Xenopus tropicalis: one gene and its partners. The main gene of each other region encodes a partner of the protein of the gene in region 3 in a complex. Links are inferred from orthologs where the notes say so. Each region holds a gene or a part of one and is shown on either strand. Other genes may lie near its edges. The genes, in order: drosha, erh and dgcr8.

Region 1 (3,649 bases), on a different chromosome or scaffold from region 3:
AGACTTTAAAGATAGGTGCAAGGTTGCAGCTTTTTCATGGAGTCTGGGCCTCAGCAGTAAGAGATTCCTGGGTCTTAAAGGTTGTCCAAGAAGGGTATCGGCTAGAATTCCAGGAAAGACCCAGAAGAAATGTTTTTCGGAAATCTATACCTCCAAAAATTCCGCAAGCAGAAGTAATTTTTCAGGAATATGTGGATGCGCTCAGAGAATCAGGGGCAGTGGAGGAAGTTCCTCACTCGTCCAGGAGATCCGGGTTCTACTCAAAGCTTTTTCTGGTACGGAAGTCCTCAGGAGCCTTCAGACCGGTTATTGATCTCAGACCGTTGAACCAGTTCATCCATTGCAGACTGTTCAAGATGGAGTCCTTGGCTTCCATAATCCTCGCAGTTCCTCCGAAAGCATGGTTATTAAACCTCGACTTAAAAGATGCCTATTTCCAAGTGACGGTCAGTCGGTGGATTGTCTCCTGTATCGTTTTGGCTTATCAGTTGGCTGGCAGGGAGATCCCAGGGGATCTTAAGGCACATTCCACCAGAACAATGGCTACATCCTGGGAGGCAGAAGCCATGGCTCCGCCAGAAGCGATCTGCAAGGCAGCTAGATGGACTTCTGCATCTACCTTTATTCGGCACTATAAGCTGGATGTGTTGCAGTCCCAGGAAGCGAGATTTGGGAGGAAAAATTTTCAGGCAGTCGTTCCCTGAACGTTCTGGAATAAATTGATTAAGCAGCCTCTGCTGTCGCTCCCTTCTTTTTTTTACCTTGGGGAATTCCCAGTGTTGGTGAAGTGCTGCCATTGTGACTTGGGAAATAGAGAAATCTTATTTTCTTACCATAATTTTTATTTCCAAGTCACTCTTCATGGCAGCATTCACCAACTTCCCTCCCTTCAGATGCTTGGTTACTAAGACTAGGTGCTGTGGGAGGGGGGATGCTTAAATGCTGTGTTAACGCTTTCCTGTCCAGTGACCTAGAGGGGCGGGGATTACCCAGTGTTGGTGAATGCTGCCATGAAGAGTGTCTTGGAAATAGAAATTACGGTAAGAAAATAAAATTTCTCTATTTCCTATAGCAACCAATTGGGTCTTTGCTTTTGATTGTAGACTATTCAATTCTATGTGCTGTGCTATGGACCGTTGATGTTGGCTTACACACTATAATAAATATGCCCCTAAATATTCTTGGTTAGATGGGAGAGGTGAGATTTTTGGTAAACAGATGGCTGAAACGCCACAACCTTAAACATCGCTATGGCACAGTGCACAGCTCTTACAGTAGGGGATGGTATAACCTGCTTGGTCAAATGGCAGATGTCATTTTGGGCTAAACCGATGACAAGGATAAGACTGGCACCTTTAAACACCGCTAGGTGTATATTTTGTTTGCCACAATGTGCTGCCATTAGTTAGTTACAGATTGCTAGGTGCATGTGTTTTTGGTCATACCCTAAATTCTTATTGTTGTTCTGTTGTGGGTAGGGGAACTTTACATAAAAGAAGTAGTTGCTAACCTTCTCCTGAATAAGAGGACATTTCCTGAAAAGTTTTGTTGTATTGATCTTTTTATAATAATTATTGTATGCAATATTTTTTATCTGAAGTAGGTGATTGCTAATAAAACAGTTATAATGAACTCTACTTGTCTGTTCTATTTTCTCATTTTGTCTTGTGTAATTTTAAATTGCAAATGAGACCAGTGGACTTGAAATATTTAGTTCATAATGTTTTTATCTGCTGCATTTTTTTTCAATAGCTATTTTCTTTTTCTGTCATGTAGCCGAGAGAGACACCGGCATAGAGAAAGCCGAAGATCAACATCTACTGAGAGAAGTTATAGAAAGAGGCCAAAAAGGTATTAGTGTGTAAATTAAAACCATATAAACTTAGATAGATATGTGAACATTGTTAGCTTGTATACGTATTCATCATTATATAGGGCAGCTTAGTTTTGACCTTATGTATTTTCTTATGAACAGACATGCTAAAGAAATTAATATTTCATCTTTTTTTGTAGAGACAGTACAATTTAAGGGTGTAGCTTAAAGGAGACAAAAAGGTAAAATCACTAGAATGTACCAAGTTAGGCACACCTCCCAGTGCCCAGTTATTTTAGTTACTTGCCTTCTACCCTGTGCTCCTCTTTAAAAATTCATTAGCCCTGTGTACTGTTTGCTGAGTTTTACAAAAGTTAGAGAATTCTGTATTGCAAATGCACCGTCTTAGAATTGGCACAGGGGCACCTGAGGTATACTCTGGTATGCTTCAGGCAAGTATAGTCTATTGGTTTCTTTCTCTCTTGTCTATTCTTTTCTTCCTCCTCTCTTTTCCTGTAATTTGTATATTGTCGCAGGCTCTTATTCTGTTAACTATGCTGGTGTAAAATATGAATTAAAAATAAAACAAACAAAAAAAACTAAACACTGGGGAGTGCCTAAAGGTCCCTTAGACCGATTCGGCAGCTAATCGGTCCGTGTATGGGCACTACCGATGGGCCTGTCCGACCGATATCTGGGCTGAAATCGGCCAGATCTCGATTGGGCAGGTTAAAAAATCTAGTCGGATCGGGGCCGCCTTTGCCTATACCCGCGGTAATAATTCGATCGTTTGGCCTCAGGGCCAAACGATTGAATTAGTCTGCATTCTCCCGATATCGCCCACCCGTAGGTGGGGGATATCGGGAGAAGATCCGCTTGCTTGGCGACATCGCCAAGCGAGCAGATCTGAAGGTGTATGGGCACCTTATCAACCTCTGGTGATTTTACATTTTCTTCTCATGTAGGTATCAAGTCAGTATATAAAGTATCAAGGCAGCCTTGGCCCCTGATACAGACAGTAAATTATACCTTTGCTGTATTTTAGCAAAATTAGCTTGGGCAAAAACCTTAAAGGAACAGTAACACCAAAAAGTTAAAGTGTATAAAAGTAACAACAATATAATGTACTGTTGCCCTGCATTGCTACAACTGGTGTGTTTGCCTCAGAAAGACTACTATAGTTTATATAAGTTAGCTGCTGTGTAGCCATGGGGGCAGCCATTCAAAGGAGAAAAGGCACAGGTTACTTAGCAGATAACAGACAAACCCCCATTATATGGGGCTTATCTACTAGTTATCTGCTATGTAACCTGTGCCTTTTCTCCTTTTTTCCAGCTTGAATGACTGCCCCCATGGCTACACAGCAGCTTATTTATACAGTAGCTTTTCTGTAGCAAAAAAAACAGTTTTTTTGCAGAACAACAGCACATTATATTTTAATTACTTTAAATCACTTTCATTTTTTGATGTTACTGTTCCTTTAATGGCAAAACTTCTAACCTACCTGCTTCTTTGTCAGTCATATTTTGTGTAAGTAAATGAGTGTAGACTGGGCTTCAAATAAATTGCTTAGTGAAGAGACTTTGAGCCCTTCTTGTCTGGCACTGGCACAAAATGTGTTCTCCCCAGGCATTCGGGACCCTTTATCAATACAAGGAAACTAGTGCTTTATATCTGTATTTCAAATAACTCTTCTATACCATACAACCAATTGAATTGCACTATGCTAATCAAGTTTCTTTCTGTTTCAAGTCCATCACCATCAAGCAGAGAGCATAAAAGATCTCGTTGGGAGGAAGACAATGAATCTCTATCAGAGAGCTCTTCAGCAAAAGA
Region 2 (4,136 bases), on a different chromosome or scaffold from region 3:
AATTTCAAACTGCAGGAGTTGTTTAACCATAACCTAGATAATTGAAAAAAACTACAAAAAATGAAGGCTAATTGCAAACTGTCAGAATACCACTGCCTACATTTAACTCAACGTTAAATTTAAGGTGAACTACCCCAGTAATGAACAATCATAAAACCACTTGTTAAAGGAAGCGTTTCATTAGCCGCTAACACACTTTCCCCTTACTCTCCCATAAACCTATTGTGTTCCCCATGTCTGTGGGGGGTTCCACTACTCTTAGTTAGACAGTGAGCTCTTTGGGACACCCACACCTACCAATTGATATCCCTTAATGCTATTAGTAACTACAGCTATTAATAGAAAGATTAGATATAACCTTCCTGTGCAGTTTGATGCTTATCCTTTGCTATGGTATGTACTCCATGGTCTCTCTGATCTGTGCTCATGGAATGGACATGATGCTATGCATACTGGGGCCAGTATACAACTATACAGACACATAGTGGATATAAATTACATTTACCTATACTATTGTCATTTACAAATAGCCTCATAAAACATATACACAAAACTACTCCCTGCCTATACTTCAGCCCATGGCAGGTGTAGCTCAGCAAGACTTGTCCCATTCGAGGTTGCCAATCAGTGCACTATACCGATAAATAATGTAGGTACTCACACACTAACAGACAGGCACAGCCGGTCCGGAACAGCTCAAACCGAATACGAACCACAGGGCTATTCCTTACCGCTGAGCCCAAAAATCTGCTCCGGCTTGTTCAACAGACTCTGACAGCCCGCAGGAACCTTAGTGGCTCTCGCACATACGCACCGCCATCTTGCTGTGCCTCAGAGCCGCGGCTGCCATGGTGTCATTACATGAGACTACTTCCGGGTTAGCTGGACAATGGCGTCACAGTAGGGAACGTAGATAGACGGACAGCGCTGCGTGGATAGAATAAACATAAAGACAGAGACACGCCCCTTTGTGGCGCACATAAGCATTTAGTAGTTACAAACAGGCGAAAAGCGTCGCAGAAAACGACATAAACTCGTATAACAATATTTACAATTAAATGTATAACAATAAAATATATAACAATAAAATATATAACAATTAAATTTAACTATTATATAGTTTAAGGCGTTACCTCCATCCTCTTGTCTCTTTGACACATAGCTCTTGTACTTTTTATTCATTATTGTAATGACCCCTTGTTTATTATTGTGCTGTTGCACAGCGATACATACATACAGCGCTATATAAATAAAATACACGTACAGTCATATTACACCCCGAGCCCTTATTAATCATGGCCGCCACGACCTCCCATACTAGTCTCGCTGTATGATACCTGGAGCGTTTAAATCTAACTACTTCCGCCGGAAACACGACTTTCCATTTCCTGCTTGCTGCTTCGGGTGCTAAGTTGCGGTGTGTAGAAAGCGCAGATATGGTGAGTAGGAATGGCTGCTGGGCGGCGGGGCTTGTTAGCGGGTGAGGGCGCAGAGAAGCAGCTGCAGGCCGCGGCGGGCTCCTGAGTTCCAGGGGGCGGGATGCGCGGCCCCATAATGTAGCGATGGAGGCCCCCCTCGGCCCGGGGCTCTGCAGCTGCTCCTCTGCTTGTGTTTTGCCTGTAGAGCTCACACGGCCTCTCTCTTGCAGTCTCACACAATCCTACTCGTACAGCCCACCAAGAGACCCGAGGGCCGGACCTATGCAGACTACGAGTCGGTGAATGAATGCATGGAAGGTATGTTAGCCTCACATTTATTGCTTGATAGGAAGGGAAGTGTAGCTACGGGTTACTCGCACTCTATACATTCCTTACAGCACGGGGTTTTCCGCCCAAACCTCCTTTACTGCCCAGGATTTAGGCAGCCCCCCCCCCCACATTCATTTAGGCAATTATCACTGTAGCCTTGATCAGAGCTATGTTTTATATCCGCTTTTTCTGATATCTCCAGGAAATAATTGTTCCCCCCCTCCCCCAGCCCTGAGTATGTAACTGACCTTTATGGTGGCCATACATGGGTTAATTTTGGCTGCCGATATTGGGCCTTTACACTAATTCTGCAGCTTATCTGCTTATTGGGCCTTCTTGACGACGTCTGGCCTGAAATTGGGCAGATCTCAATCGGGCAGGTTTGATTTTTCCATCAAATCGGGACCGCATCCACCCGTGCCTATACTCGCTGTTTTCTTTCGATTGTTTGGCCCCAGGGCCCAACAACTAGATTAGCCCAATAGTGCCCACCCTCAGTTGGGCATATCGAGAGAAGATCAGCTTGCTTGGCAACCTTGCGAAGCAAACTAATCTTACCATGTATGGCCAGCTTTAAGGTGGCCATACATGCACCGATAATACGAGGTTTCGTACGATATTCGGTGCGTGTATGGTATGTCGGCGAGTCGACCAATATCGCAGGAAGCTGCTGATATCGGCCGACTCGCCGATCGGACCAGTTTGAAAATTTTGACCAAATTCTGACCAAAATCTCCCTTCACCGCTGAATCGGCAGAAGGAGGTAGAAATCCTATTGTTTCTACCTCCTTACCTGCCGATTCAGCCCTGAATGGTGTGTGGCTGATCTGACGATGTTTCGCACGGGGCATGTAAGTATAGTCATTCTCCCCAAATCTTACCCCGACTGGCATTTAGTGTCTGTCCCATTTAGGTTGGCCAGCCCCAGTTATATTTGTATAAAGATTAATATTTCCTTAAATTTAAAGTATATAGTGACTAATGTACCCCTTCTTATAGATAAGATAAACATGACCTTGTATTTTCAGAAGGTGTATATGGTCATGTGACTCCTTGGTGACTTCTATTATCTTCATAAATGTTAGTACTGGGTACATCCTCAATACAATCTGCAGGCCTTAGGGGTCAAAGGCGGAATCTGGAACCTAAACTCTCGACCAGCACTTGACCTGTTAGACCCCCCCTTTGAACCCCCGGGGTTATATTGTGAGTTGCGGGAGAGGATCCCAATGTGTGAGAGGCAGGAGGGCTCCACAGATATAAGTGGTGTGGGGGCCCTGTGGGTAGCATAGTTCCACCTCTGCCTCCATTTTGTTCCCCTCCTCACAGATGTGGGGGATAGTTGCCAGTATGCTGTTCTTTTGCTCAGGGTGGCTAGGGGGCATAGTTGTATCCATGCTTATGTTTTGTTTACCTCCCTTTTACAGTTCCCCTTGTTCCCTTTCCTCTGTTTGCTCCCCACACTTTCTCCCATGTGTCTGCCCCCCCCCCCCCCCACACTTTCACTGTTCTCCATTTCTTCAAAGTCCTGTTTCTTCTGGAACTATAGTCAGATCTGCTTTTCCCTTTGTTGCTGTTGAGCAGGCGGTTAGGTGGGAGGGTCTGGCTGTTCAGTTTGGTGGGGACGCAGTAAAGTAGTTGATTCAGGCCTGAGGGGCCAGTGTTTGATTGAGCGGGTCTTGAGGAGGCAGACAATCCGGCAGGAGAAGTTATACTACGGGCAGGCAAATGGTCTCTAGTTTAGTTTACAATGCCGTAGGGAATTGGCCAAACTGTAGATAATATAGACAACAATGTATCGTTATTGTAATTTTATAACAGGGTACATTGTTTTCATAATTCACAGTTTTCAGTAAGTCATGTGACAGATTACATCACTAAGCACCGAGTATAACCTATGACATCACTAAGCACACTCTGTAAGCATATTGGCTACAGGATGTTTATGGCTCTTGAGTATATTAAAAGTTCCATAACCTGTATAAAAGCACAAAATCCTTTGGCTTTTTCACCTTGGCAAATTCTAATTTTTTTAATTTTGGAAAAGGGGGTACATATTTTTTTGTTTATAATACATAAGTTTCAATGTGTCATGTGACACAAATAACGTTACTAAGCACTGTTTAAATGGATGTTTGACTCTTGCGTATTATAAACGCCTTGTGGCATTTTTCTGCTGTCTAAGCCTAAATAGCACAAGTGGAACCTTGGCTTTAATAAAATTATGTGCCTTTCTCGCAAGTGTGCAAACGCAAAGATTTAACATATTTCTATATAGAGAAGTAAGTAGATTGTTCTTACCTTGACCTTCTTCCCTACTGATCATAAAGCCCAGATTTAAATCACCTCCCTGTTGGAATTAATCTTGTTATAATCCATCCTTTGTTG
Region 3 (4,360 bases):
GTTGCGATCCGAAAGTCACAAAATTTTCACATCCGAACAATTGTAAACAGCGCATAAACCTTTCTGGCTTTGAAACCTTCAATGCATGATTTTGGAAGCCTTCCATAGGACTCAATGGCACTCTACAGATCCAGCCTGGCCAAAAGATAGTCGCCATACCAAAGGTTGAATGAATTCCGATTCGTTGCGAAAAATACAACTTTTTTGTGCAAATGCTACAATCAAAATACTATGCAATGGAAAGAGTATGTATGTGTATACATATATAATATATATACACATTAAGTAATTTTACTTAGCACAGGACGAGAGAAACATAACTATGTTGACAAAAAAATGCTTAAAATGTACTGAAATATTTCATTTTTGGTCAAATCGCAAAAAGACGATCTGGTGAGAACATGTACTGCCGTTCTGTAGCAGAAGTAGGAGGGGCGAGTAAAGGAAAGCCAATTTGAGAGCTGACTTACAAGCAGCCTCCCACTGTGTAACATTGAGTTACGCCGACTTGCCACGCCCCCAAGGCAGTGCGTATGCGTCACTGGCTTACGGGTAGTTTTGACGCCAGTCTCGCGTGATGGGACTTGTGACGTTGAGATTTTCAGTGAGACTGGAGGCTCCGAGGCTGTAGTTAACAGCTTTTCGGGAGGTGTAAGTAGCGCTGTGCGACTACGGGATGTGTTAGGCAAGGCGGAACTTTTGGGCAGTATGCGTTTAGTTGGATTGCCGGGCCCCTACTGTCAGTAAGCTGCAGACTTCGGAAGGCAGGGCGGGAGCTAGGGTGCCTGCATGTTCTTTTCACGATACCGGTTTCCCTCCCGCTGGTTGTGCCATAGAAGCTTAAGGGAAGCCCCTTCCGAATTTTGCATTCTACTGACAGCAGGGGCTCCGCTAATCCAATAAAGTGCAGCACAGCCCCCCCCCTTAAAGCAAAATACCCACCGGGCCCGGTACCACTGCCCCCACCCTATGGCGGCGCTGATTTTATATATGTTCTTTCTTCTCTTTAAGTGAGGCCTTTCGATGCTTGATCAGAGCTAGATGTATATATGAATTTATTATAGTGTCGTTGTACTGATAAAGGATACTGCTGTGCACTTTGCATCAGTTTATTGTGTGTATGTGGAAGAGACTGCAACCCTTTCCCCATTGTTTCTTTCTTTTCTCTTTTCTTTTCTTCTTGTTACAGGTAGACATGAAGGTCTGGATCAACGATGTCTGATGCCTAGCGCTTGCTCTCATTAAGCTGAATACATTGTGATTTCCAGTAATAGAGACAGTATTTCTGAAGGCTGTCTACATTAATGAAAAGAGCAATGTAGTCAGCTTAACAGAATCATCAGTGTTACCTACTGATTGTAATGTGGTACACTCACATTGCTGGGCAGTTGCATGCTAGGGTTATAGTTACATTTGTAAACTAGCTGTTTTGTTGTAGATTTTCTGTGCTAAATTAGTATTAATTATGGAGGAGTGTGAGGAAGTAGCCCCTCTCCCAGAGGTAAATGGACATGAAGTGACGGAAATGATTCCTGCTTCTCCCCCTCCTCTGCCGCCAGATGAAGAGCCTCCACCACCTCCCCTGCAAACGTCCAGTGACGCAGAGGTAATGGACGTTGGCTCTGGTGGTGATGGACAGTCACAAACCCCAGCTGGGGACCTGCAACAAAACAACGGATTACAGCTTCTCACTAAGGGGTCATCCTCCTACAAGAGTCATCTTACAGTTCTTGATCCCTTTCACAGTGACCAAAGGCCAAGAACAGCTCGCCATGCACCATCTAATAAAGGGTTTACCCCCGATCTTAAGTTGCTAAAGGATGTTAAGATTAGTGTAAGCTTTACAGAGAGTTGCAAAAGCAAAGACAGACAGGTTCTGTACACTGGATTGGAATGTGAGGGTTCCCTAGATGGAGGTAGCAATATAAACAGTGTAAATGGAGATATGTATGTTTGTCCTTTTGCTGGTAGTACCAATGGTAATGTTACTGATAGTGTTGAAATTACACTTAAAAAAAACGATGAGCCTGAAATTGATCAGGAAAAGAAAGTAGAGTATGCTGTTCTGGATGAACTTGAAGATTTTACCGAAAATGTTATGGATGTCGATGAAGATGGAGCAGAATTTGTATCGGAATCCATTCTCCAGAGAGATAAGATTGATGAAGAAGCCCTGATGTACAGTTATGAGGTATGTTTCTTAACATAAATACAAGTGGATTATGGGAGCACATCCCATGCGTTGTATGTTTGTTACCAATAACATCCGCATTTGTTGCCTAATTTTTTCATTCTGTAGCAAATTTATATTCTGTTTTTATTTTACCTTTTGAGTTTTACAGCAGCAGCACATTCCAGGTGAAAGTGCTGAAAGTGGTGTCAGACTTGCTGCTTTTCAGATGTTGAAACAAAATGTTCTGCATCCCACCAATAGCTGAAATTTGTTAGGGGTGGAGTGTTCAAATAGATCTACCGTAAATGGAAAAGCTACAGGATGTCCATTCTTGGTTTAAATAATATGTCTTTGCAAGGGATAAGAGGAAGGGGCTCTGTTTCCCCACAGGGATGGAATTGGGGATGTTCCTGATGATTTTTCTTACAGGATGAATTTGATAACGATGTGGATGCTCTTCTGGAAGAGTCCCTTCACACCCCCAAAAAGCGAAGAATTGATGAAAAATATGATATTGATAGTGATCATCAATCAGATGGAGAGTCAAGTGTGCAACCCATGGTGACCAAAATAAAAACTGTACTAAAAAGTAAGCTATGGATGTCCTTTATCTGTTTGCCTCATTTTAATCTAATTTAGTAGAACACAGTGTGTTAAACATTTGTTACGTGTGTCTTAGGTTTTTTTTTTTTTTTAACCTACCTCACTGTTTCTCCCACTTGGTTTCAATTAACTCAGTGGGAAGAAAGGTGAGGTTTTGGGTTTCACTATCACACGGGGTCTCAAGTTTTGTTGGGTGATGGATTTTGACTTTAAACTGTATATGTTTTTATCCTATTGCACTGTAGTCAGTTTGTCCAGAGAAAACTTGTTTACAGAAACATTTTTAATTCACATAGATAAGGCTTGGTAGTTTTTTAATGTAGGAGGCCACAAGTCCCTGTAACATTTATTCTCACTACCTGGAGGATAAATAGATTGCTTCAGTTTGCATGGATGGCCAAATTATACCTATTAAACCTACTAGTATTAATATTGTACAAAGTCAGCCCTAGTATTGCAATGTTTTATTCCACTTCCATAATCACATGGAGATGGTAATTTCTATTTTGGAGAGAGAGGATGACTACACAGTAGCAGATATTTGTCACTGATTTTGACCGTTCTGACATAAGTGACCTGAAACCTGGTGAAAAGGGAAGCGTAATGCAGCTGACTTTACAGAATGCTCTGAAAAATATATTTTGCTGGTAACTGTTTGGCTGATGATCAGTTGGAATACATGTAAGTGTCTGATCCCACAAGAAAATGTATTTATGCGTTTGTATAGTGTGCCATAAACCTTAGTGTCTTCAATTTGCTAGGAATAAAACCTATTTCTGGTAAACCTTAATTTGCCATGCAAATAAGGGTTGTGTAGACTGTGTAGAAATTTCAGGCAATTAATCTTGCTGATTAGGCTAATGCCACACAATGCGAATGGTGTATATTTTTGGCTAGCCAAATAACACTTGCTGAGAATACGCGCCATATGCTCCTACCTGTGCCTGAGCCAGAATTAATGGACTACGCCCAGGTGCAGGCACATGTAGCCTCGCAGTTTTATGCGGACTTCGGCTACATGTGCCTGCACCCAATCGTATTCCATTCATTCAGGTGCAGGCACAGGTAGGAGCGTATGGCGCGTATTCTCGGCAAGCGTTTTGCTGAAAGTGTACACCATACACATCATGTGCCATTAGCCTTTATTATGCATGTATTATAACATTTTGACAATACTCATTACGATTGGATCCCCTGCCTCTTCCTGCCAATATTTGAAAATATTAGGAAAACAACAAGAAATGTAACTTTCAAACTGTCCTTTTTAATTGGTTTTATGTTGCAAATAAGTTCATTTTTTCCCCTTAAGTTTTAATCAGCATTGTCTGTCACTTTGGTGATCCTGTTAATAAAATTGTGTGGGAGAAGAATTCTCACAGAGAAATCAAGTCTAGGTAATTCCCCCATTAATATTTCTATCACTCTATTTTTTTAGGTCGAGGCCGCCCACCAACAGAACCATTACCTGATGGGTGGATCATGACATTCCACAACTCTGGCCTACCTGTGTACTTGCATCGAGAAACCAGGGTAGTCACCTGGTCCAGACCTTATTTCTTGGGCACTGGGAGCATAAGGGTAAGC

The links.
Region 1: the proteins of dgcr8 (region 3) and drosha are in contact, whole or in part, in a crystal structure (PDB 5B16), measured with the Homo sapiens proteins. The link is inferred for Xenopus tropicalis from reciprocal best matches to the Homo sapiens genes DGCR8 and DROSHA. Residues at the interface, in NP_073557.3 of Homo sapiens: Asn728, Ile731, Leu732, Lys734, Leu735, Gln736, Glu738, Met739, Lys740, Leu742, Ala743, Arg746, Arg750; in NP_001369437.1 of Homo sapiens: Leu984, Leu987, Phe988, Thr998, Tyr999, Thr1001, Ala1002, Ile1003, Gln1005, His1008, Phe1069, Asp1073, Leu1074, Glu1076, Val1077, Trp1078, Asn1080, Pro1082.
Region 2: the proteins of dgcr8 (region 3) and erh are in contact, whole or in part, in a crystal structure (PDB 7CNC), measured with the Homo sapiens proteins. The link is inferred for Xenopus tropicalis from reciprocal best matches to the Homo sapiens genes DGCR8 and ERH. Residues at the interface, in NP_073557.3 of Homo sapiens: Lys107, Phe108, Ser109, Pro110, Asp111, Leu112, Leu114, Leu115; in NP_004441.1 of Homo sapiens: Val8, Pro10, Thr11, Thr18, Tyr19, Ala20, Glu27, Lys34, Met35, His39, Arg42, Met43, Phe60, Leu64.

What each region holds. Positions count from the first base shown.
Region 1 is NC_030682.2:84,236,187-84,239,835, reverse strand, and holds part of drosha (ribonuclease 3), read left to right. Parts: intron 1-1,776; coding exon 1,777-1,851; intron 1,852-3,565; coding exon 3,566-3,649. UniProt on the Homo sapiens protein: Ribonuclease III double-stranded (ds) RNA-specific endoribonuclease that is involved in the initial step of microRNA (miRNA) biogenesis.
Region 2 is NC_030684.2:109,825,722-109,829,857, reverse strand, and holds the start of erh (enhancer of rudimentary homolog), read left to right. Parts: upstream 1-1,331; 5' UTR 1,332-1,436; coding exon 1,437-1,439; intron 1,440-1,648; coding exon 1,649-1,736; intron 1,737-4,136. UniProt on the Homo sapiens protein: May have a role in the cell cycle.
Region 3 is NC_030677.2:155,329,178-155,333,537, forward strand, and holds the start of dgcr8 (microprocessor complex subunit DGCR8), read left to right. Parts: upstream 1-1,465; coding exon 1,466-2,191; intron 2,192-2,602; coding exon 2,603-2,762; intron 2,763-4,211; coding exon 4,212-4,354; intron 4,355-4,360.